Ovis aries: one gene and its partner. The protein of the gene in region 1 purifies or fractionates together with the protein of each later gene. This does not show direct contact. Links are inferred from orthologs where the notes say so. Each region holds a gene or a part of one and is shown in the gene's direction. Other genes may lie near its edges.

Region 1 (4,277 bases):
ATGGGAGAGCAATAGGAAACTTGCAGCTCCACCAGGAAAGACCCTACCATTTACCCTATAGATGCTCTCACCTCTTTATTTGCATATATGGTGGTCCAAAGGTCTAAACTAGGGAACCAGAAGAATTTGTGAGTAAAATGTCATGCTGTGTATTTCTGGGACTAGAATCCATAGTCTCCAACAAACTCTCAGATTCCCCAAAGGTTAGGAGTCATTGATTTTCCCACCAGAAATTAAAGAATAGCTATCCTTGGCGAGAAGGACTGGTGGGGGAAGGAGGCATATTTTCAGTTTTAATTTTCACGTTTTCTGAACTGTCTGAATTTTCTAACCACAAACATGTGTTAGTTTCATTGAAAAAGCTGTCATCAAGGTTTATTTGGGTGTTGAGATAACAGGCCCTTTTTAGATTTCATCTTTAATACCTCTTTGTACTAAACAAACACTAATAGCTGTTATTTTTAAAAACCCTAATAGTCTTACACACACACACACACACTATAATGCAAAGAACATCTATTATGTGAGGTGAAATGTCTACATTTCCTATAAACTACTGGTTAATGCAGTAAAACTTTCATTCGAAGTAGATGAGGCGAAAAAGATAAAGGCACGCAATTTCAAGTATTTCAACTCAGACGCATAAAAACAATGTGTATACGTGTCATTCTTCATTGGTACTGTCTCCTTATTCCCTTGAACCTGCCAATGTGCGAGCCGTTGGCCTTTGATGCTTGAAGCGACGGAACGAAGGGCAGGGTTAAATCCACTACCTTCTCCCCACGCACTCTAGTAATTACTCTATTTCCACGTCATGTTTCCGGGTGTGTGTGTCCCGACTCACGCAGAAACTGAAGTTCAAAGCAGGCGGGAGTAACCCATGTTCTTTTTGCTGTCCCCAGAAACCCATTTCGGGCGTTGGGCCCCTAAAGGATCTGGCGACACCTGAGGACTGTCTAACTGGCTGATTCCCACGTGGTAAGTGCCCCCAACCTTGCCCCCACGTGGTGCCAAGGGCCGGGAAGAGGGAGAGCAGGCAGAAGGGAGCCGCATCAGGGGCATTTAAAGTGTCTTGACGTCACGCACTGCCAGGAACTCAGCTGAGTTTTCAGCAGGACATTCCAGTCATCTTCCCTCCCTCCCCCCGGGCTCCTCTGCCCAGGGCCTTGGTTCTTCCCCAGTTGTTGCGGAGGGAGGAGCCCTAAGAGTCGGAACAGCCAGAACAGGGGCGTTCCCAGCCTTGTATTGGCTCCGCCCTTCCACCCAGAGGCTCTCTTCATTGGCCAGTGGGTGGGGCTTCGGATGTAGAGTCTGCTCAGCAGGGCTTCTGGGTGGCCGAGAAAACTGGTCATGTTATGAATTATACATGAGCGGCGTGCCTAGGCCAAGCGGGGGCTGGGCGGGGATTGGCTGGAGGGGCTGTAATTCAGCGGTTTCCGGAGCTGAGGCGGCGTAGACAGGGAGGGGGAGCCTGGGGTTCCGACGTCGCCGCGGAGGGAGAGAGCCCGAATCGGATCCCTGACGAGCACCCCAGCTCCGCGCTCTCCCCGCTTCTGCCAAGGGAGACTCCGCGGCCTGAGGGAGCCCCGCGGCCCGCACCCCGGCGCAAGCGCAGCCCCGGCCAGTCGGGCCTCAGCCCGAGCAGCAGGTGAAGGGGGTTTAAGGGTGGGGCTGCCCCCCGACGGCCTCCAGGCCTGGGCATCCCGGGGGAGGAGGGGCGCGCTGGGAGCTTCTGGGGTGTTTGGGGGAGTAGTGAATGGAAACTTCAGTGGGGTCAGGGGGATACGAGGAGACACGGAGAGTCGCTGTGAAGGGACAGTTCCCCGGGATGACAGGAGCCGACCTCTGAAGGGACGGGGTGCGCTGGAAGGAAGTTTCGTTCTTTGGAAAAAGGGGAGACGCAGAGGAAGAGAGAGAATGGACTGGAGGGGGAGGACCGTGGGGCGAGGGTACTCTAGGGTTGGGGGGCAGGAGCGAGGGACAGCCCCCCGACTTCCTGCTCCCTGGGGCTCTGGGGACGTTCCGGCCACGGGAGCCACTGTCACGCCGGCGGAGATCACGGAGTGGGGGGGGGGGGGTTGGCAAGCGCCTCCTCCCCGCCCCTCGGCGGGCCCGGCGTCTCCCGGCTGAGCCACTTCCTCCGCCTTGCCCTGTTCCTGCTCCTTTAGGAGCCAGCTGTGCCCCCCTGGAGGAGGTAGGAATAGGTGTCTTCCCTTTACAGCCTTGCGGGCTGTTTGGTTATGGGTAGGATTATTGCATAAGATTCAAGTTTCCTGTAGGGAAATTGACAGCCTTGTACTCTTTCTAAACTCCCCCCAGCCTTTTTCTGGGGTAAAGTCGTGTTTCCCTTCTCCCTCTTCCAAAAAAAATCCAAATAAAACCCCCATCAACCCAGCTCTAAAGAGAAATAAACCTTTTTCCTCCTTGACATTGTTCTTTTATAACCACCTGGTAAACTTGGCCAGAAGATAAATAATTGAGCCCTTGCGTTTACTGGATTGTGGTGTTGCTTAATTGCATAGAACAGAATGAACCAATAGAGAGTGGGAGTTTTCTGTCTCAGAGCCAAGATCTTGGGTAAATGCGGAGAGAGAAACAAAGACAGGCTGGCCTTGGCAAAGCCATGTGTGCAAACTTTACCTGTGTTTGGGGGTGTGGTTGCACTTCAGTTAGCTTAATTCAAACCGTCACCTGAGTGGTTTTTTCCATGTTTAGTCCACATCTTTCTGTGTTATATCAAGTGGATGCATGATATTGACACACTTATTCTTATTAAAAATGTATATAACATGTCCTTGCTGGTTGGTTAAATAAATAAAGGGCATATTTATTCTGTGTGTGGGTTGTAATTTTTTGGTTGGCTGAGCTAATACAGCATTGGTTTGAAGAAATCAGAACTGTAAATTATCTCAATCTTTTATATGTGGATTTAGACTGTTATGACTTGATTTAGCCAATTTTATGTTTTATATCAAATATGTCTGTACTCCCTGAGTCAGCACATTTATTTCCTTATTACATGTGCCAGGCTGAGCAATGGCACCCCACTCCAGCACTCTTGCCTGGAAAATCCCATGGATGGAGGAGCCTGGTGGGCCGCAGTCCATGGGGTCGCTAAGAGTCGGACTCGACTGAGCGACTTCACTTTTACTTTTCATTTTCATGCATTGGAGAAGGAAATGGCAAGCCACTCCAATGTTCTTGCCTGGAGAATCCCAGCAACGGGGGAGCCTCGTGGGCTGCCGTCTGTGGGGTCGCACAGAGTCGGACATGACTGAAGCGACTTAGCAGCAGCAGGCTGAGCTACTAGTAAAATTTTTGCAGTGACATTTGCACAGTGGGATGGAGGAAAGAAGTCTTTAATACCAAAAAAAAAAAGAAATTGTAGATGCTAGAGGCTTTTTTTGTGTGTATTTATTATTTATTTATGGCTGGATAGGGTCTTAGTTGTGGTGTGTGGGTTCAGTTGCCCTGAGGCATGTGGGATCTTAGTTCCCCCACCAGGGATTGAACCTGACTCCCCTGTATTGAATGCGCAGATTTCTTAACCACTGGACCACAAGGGGAGTCCCTGAGGCTTGACCTTAATCTCTATATTTGCTAGCATATCTACCACAAAGAACCACTAGAAAATTCATAAATCTTCTATCTTTATATGTAGTTCTTTTGGGAAGAATAGCCATCTAGAAATATCCATAGTTATGACTTGACCCACAAAGGGTAGATAGTTCATGTAACCTTAACTCTGCTTTGAAGATAAGGAAATTGAGGTGTAAGGAACGAGACACTTGCCCAGGCAGCAACATACCATAGTGATGGAGCTTGTACCTTCTGTATATTTTGTTTGCTTTTGACTATCTATGCTTAAGTATTAGGTCTTAATTTAGAGTGACTGTAGGCCCTACTGGGAAAAGTGTCAGTGAAATTCTAACACATACCTAGACCATCAATATCCTATAAGACTCCAAGGGAGATATTTAAAATAAACAGGTGAGTCCCGTTTAGGTTATTACAGAATATTGAGCAGCATTACCTGTGCTATACAAAAGGTCCTTTTTGATTATCTCTTGTAAAATAGCAGTGTGTACATGTCAGTCCCAAACTCTCACTCTCCTTCCCCTCAGGTAACTTTTTAGTCTGCATAATTTACCATCAGAATTTAGCTATTTGCTAATGGAAAGAGAGATTTACTGAGGCAGGTTTGTAGGTGAAGGACAGTCATGACCTAAATGTCATTTAAACCAAAGTGTCTTGTGGCTTAATCAGTGGTCATTTGT
Region 2 (4,307 bases), on another chromosome or scaffold:
TTCTGTATGCCAGTTATTGGTTTAACCATCTGGCTGCTGCTAGGCTGGAAGCTCCTGCAAGGATTTTATGTCCTCACCACCTAACAATCTTTGAACAGTAATCAAATATTTATTGAACAAATGACATTATCACTTAGGTCCCAACCAAGTGCAAAATGCTGTGTATTTTTCCAATACCTAGTTTGGGTAAACTGCTCTCAAGTTGGTATTTTCAAGGGAACTGGGTCTATGGCTTTGGAGGAAGGAGAGTAGGCAGTTCAGAGAGAGGCAGAAAAATTGCCCTTTCTCGGTGAGAAAACCTCCCCTCCATTCACCTTCAACTACATTAAAGCTCTTAAGTCTCTGGTGACAGTCTGTGTATTTGAGGTAGGGAGTAGGGGACCACAGGTGGAAGTAGGGTTTAGGTACACTTCGGATTTTAGCAGTTCATGTTTTCTTTCCCGTAGGGAGAGACTCACTGTAAGTAGCTACCTCTTTAAGCGATCGGATTTCTGGTCCACACCGTCTTATTTGCAGCTTACTTCCACTCAAAACACATAGAAGGGTTTGCTTGCAGGGAGTCAGAACAGTAGTGAGAATGGTGAAATCAAAGAACGTCTCTCCCATCCACTCCCTAGAGGAGTTAATTTCTCCTCCGCAGGCTCAGAGTCCCGCCCTCTCCCGTCTCAGACTCCGCCCCTCCCCACTTCTCCGCTGTCCTGGCGGGCTCATCCAGGAGGGGGCGGCCCCAACCCTAGCGCTGGGCCGGGCCGAGCTCCCGCCCGGGCGGAGCTGCGGCTGCAACGTCCAGCTGCCGGACCGACCTCCAGCCGTGCAGACCTTGGGAGCAGCGCCGGGCCCCCTCCCCCCCATCTCCCCAGCCCACCCTCTGAGCGTCCCGAGTCCCCTCCCCGCTCCCTGCAACTGTGCTGGTAAGTCCCACTCTCGGCACGAAACTTTTTTGCTGGCGAATTTGAGCCCTGCCGCGGGACCATGAAATACAATGTAACCGGGGCGGGGGGAGGGGGTGAAGAATTGAGAATAGCCGTCTTGAAATAAACTATTTACGACTCCTTGGCGTCCCTAAAATGGATCAGGTCTCACCCATTTCCCGAGTTGGTGGAACTCTTGAATTTGGCTGGTTAAACTTGTAGATAGGGAAACGAGGGGGTTTGCTCCAACTTCGCTTCCCCCTCCCCCATTTCTCTGAGATTAAGCCCTTCTCGAGACTTTTCCCTCCATATCCCAAATATCTTTGGCTTTCTCAAAGCTCATCCCTTCCCGACTCCGGCGTGGCAAGGCCCCCCTCCCCCATGTACTTCGGGTTCACCTCCTCTCCCATGCCACCGGGGACCCCGCGATCCTTCGGGCGGCACACTCCCTCCGGGTCTACGGGTCTGGCACCGCGGCCAAAGACGTGCAGCGGCTGGGTCCGGCTGTGGAGGGAGGGGCTGAGGCCGGGGTTCGTCCGAAACCCGGCGGGCGGGGCCGGGAAGGGGAGGTGTAGGGGGCCGGACGGGGCGGAGCAGGCGGCATTTGCGGCCGGCGCCGGGGTGGAGAGTTGTGCGCCGGTCCCTGGGCCTGAGCTCCGGCTCGGGCTCGGGCGCCTGCGATGTCTCAAGATGGCGGAGCTGGGCGAATTAAAGGTACCGGCCCCCTCCCCCATCCCCATCTGGACTGAGCCGGGCTGTACGCCGAGTCTGGGAAGCGACCGAGACTGGGTGCTGAGGGCTCGGGTGGGGGCTGGAGACGTGGTGGGGACTGGCTGCTGGGGATGGAGAGAAGTGGCTGTGGCGAGGAAGGGGCTGCGTGGGGCTCCGGGGGCGGGGCCGCGGGGCAGATGTAGGGGTGGGGCCGAGGGGAATTGCAGCTGTTGGGGGCCGAGGCTCAGGGGGCGGGGACGCGGGGTAGAAGTCGAATTTGGTAGTAGGGGCAGATGTAGGGGTAGGGCGGGGAGGAAAAGCTGCTGTGGAGGCACAGCGGGCGAGTCGATCGAGGCCTAGAGAGGTGACAGTAGGGGGCAGGTGATGGGAATGGGGCTGGGGGGCCGATTACCGGGAGGCTCCTGGGGGAAAGGCGCTGAGAGGATAGTGACTTTGGGGCTGCTGTTGGGATCTGAGCCTTGGGAAGTACCAGTAGGTGGCTGAGATCTAGGGGGCGGGGCTGTACGGGGATAGATCGAAGGGGTGGGGCAGAAGCATCCTGGAGGCTGAGAGGAAGGTCCTGCCTTAGTGAGTCGGTATCTCTGGGCAGAGAGAGAGAAGTGTTAGACTATGGGATTGAAAAGAATTTCTTGACAAAGCTAATGGAGAAATAAAGACAGGACCGAGGAGATAAGGATGAGGGTAAAGGTAGAGGAGCAAGTTTTTAATTATATTCCTCAAAAGGGGCCCAAAGCCATAATGCCTCCATAAGAATTGCAGATGATTAGCAAGATTGGCCCGTGGCAGGGTCTCCTGGAGATTCACAGAAGTGAGTTCTTTAAGCGGAGAGCTTACCACTACCAGAATCTTGAGGATAAATAACCATCTTGCAGAACCTTTAAAAACCATGGGGTTCACCCCCTTGCTCCTGGCTTTATTCTGCCTTTTGAAATGGAACCAGAGTCATGGGAAGGCCTGAGGTCTAGTCACTGGTTCCAGTTTCCTAGGAGAGCATGCAGTTCTGCAGTCTGGCTCAGGGGCTGATCACCTCCCTATTCTTCCAGGGGCTCTCTTTAGAGCTTTCCCCTCGTTTCTTCCACCCCTGTGGAGGAAGGGAAGAATCACTTACTTTCTCTGGGTAGGAGAGAAGCAGGTTATTAGTTCCTGGCAGATGGAGTAAACAGGTAAACAGGAAGGATACCTGGACTCCACAATTCACTGTTAACCCCTCACCCCAAGTTTTACTCCTGTTTCTCTCCCAGAAAAAATAGGACTGAGGGATGAGTAGTTATGTAAATAACACCAAGGAAAGGTTTGGGAAGTTATAAGCATTGAACCCTGACCTGGCCACAAAAGCTTGGGGAAAATAGCTGAGGTAGATTGAGGGGTGGAAAGGAGTTGATTTTGAGGCACAGTCCTCCAGCCACCTGGCCCCTTTCTTCTCTGTGGGGCTGTCTGGCCTGAATCCTCTTCTCCCCTTCCTCCCCGTCTCCTGTCCCCTTCCCAGGAGGCTAGGATGGGTCTGAGAGTCTGCGAAAGAGCAGGAGAGGAGATAAGCAGCTTAAAGGAGAGTCCAGGCTCAAGGCAGGGTGGTGGGAGGAGGCTGTAGTGGACTCAGAGGTGTGCTGTAGGGTGGCAGGCACCCTGCGCCCACATGGTCAGCTGATAAGATGGGGAGACAGGATTGTTCAAGCCTGGGGGGGTAGTGGAGAGGTGACCTGAGGGTTGCTAGGATGGGAGCTAGATGTCCTTTTGGCTAGGTGGGCAGTTTGGCAGCAATCCACTGGCTGCAAAGCATCTTTCAGATCAGTGCTGGAGGGAAAGCACATTCCCCACCTAATAGCTCAGCCCTGGTGTCTTTGGCAGGACAGGCCTGTGCAAGGTAGGATCCTCAAGCTTCTCTGATCTCCACAGCACATGGTGATGAGTTTCCGGGTGTCTGAGCTCCAGGTGCTCCTCGGCTTTGCTGGCCGGAACAAGAGCGGACGGAAGCACGAGCTGCTGGCCAAGGCCCTACACCTCCTCAAGTCCAGCTGTGCCCCCAGCGTCCAGATGAAGATCAAAGAGCTTTACCGCCGACGCTTTCCCCGCAAGACCCTGGGGCCCTCTGATCTTTCTCTGCTCTCCTTGCCCCCTGGAACCCCTCCTGTAGGCTCTCCTGGTCCTCTGGCTCCCATTCCCCCGGCCCTCTTGGCCCCTGGCACCCTGCTGGGCCCCAAGCGTGAAGTGGACATGCACCCTCCTCTGCCCCAGCCTGTGCACCCTGACGTTACCATGAAACCATTGCCCTTCTATGAAATCTACGGGGAGCTCATCCGGCCCACCACCCTAGGTATGGCTCTTTGTGGTCCCTGGGTCTTCCTGGCCTCCCTGCTTCTTCCTCAAGCCTTTCTTAGGCTTTGTCCTGTGGGCTCAGCAAACTGGAATAGGGGCCACTTCTGTGGCCCCCTGGGCACGGGCTTGGGAATAACTGCCCCTTTGTGTCCTCAGCATCCACTTCTAGCCAGCGGTTTGAGGAAGCGCACTTCACCTTTGCCCTCACCCCCCAGCAAGTGCAGCAGATTCTTACTTCCAGGTTTGTCTCTTTGAGTCCTCCTGCCTCATCCTTGGGTGGTTACCCTGAGACTCCGCTCTCTGACTTTCTTCTTTTCTTTTTTGCCCTCCTTCTCACCATTCTCCTGCACC

What was found.
Region 2: the proteins of STAT3 (region 1) and PIAS3 purify together in Homo sapiens (affinity purification with western blotting; 5 studies listed by BioGRID). This does not show direct contact. The link is inferred for Ovis aries from reciprocal best matches to the Homo sapiens genes STAT3 and PIAS3.

Annotation. Positions count from the first base shown.
Region 1 is NC_056064.1:42,220,234-42,224,510, reverse strand, and holds the start of STAT3 (signal transducer and activator of transcription 3), read left to right. Parts: upstream 1-1,473; 5' UTR 1,474-1,648; intron 1,649-4,277. UniProt on the Homo sapiens protein: Signal transducer and transcription activator that mediates cellular responses to interleukins, KITLG/SCF, LEP and other growth factors. Once activated, recruits coactivators, such as NCOA1 or MED1, to the promoter region of the target gene.
Region 2 is NC_056054.1:99,195,476-99,199,782, reverse strand, and holds the start of PIAS3 (E3 SUMO-protein ligase PIAS3), read left to right. Parts: upstream 1-1,503; 5' UTR 1,504-1,601; coding exon 1,602-1,625; intron 1,626-3,488; exon of another isoform or gene 3,489-3,536; coding exon 3,537-3,954; intron 3,955-4,112; coding exon 4,113-4,197; intron 4,198-4,307. UniProt on the Homo sapiens protein: Functions as an E3-type small ubiquitin-like modifier (SUMO) ligase, stabilizing the interaction between UBE2I and the substrate, and as a SUMO-tethering factor.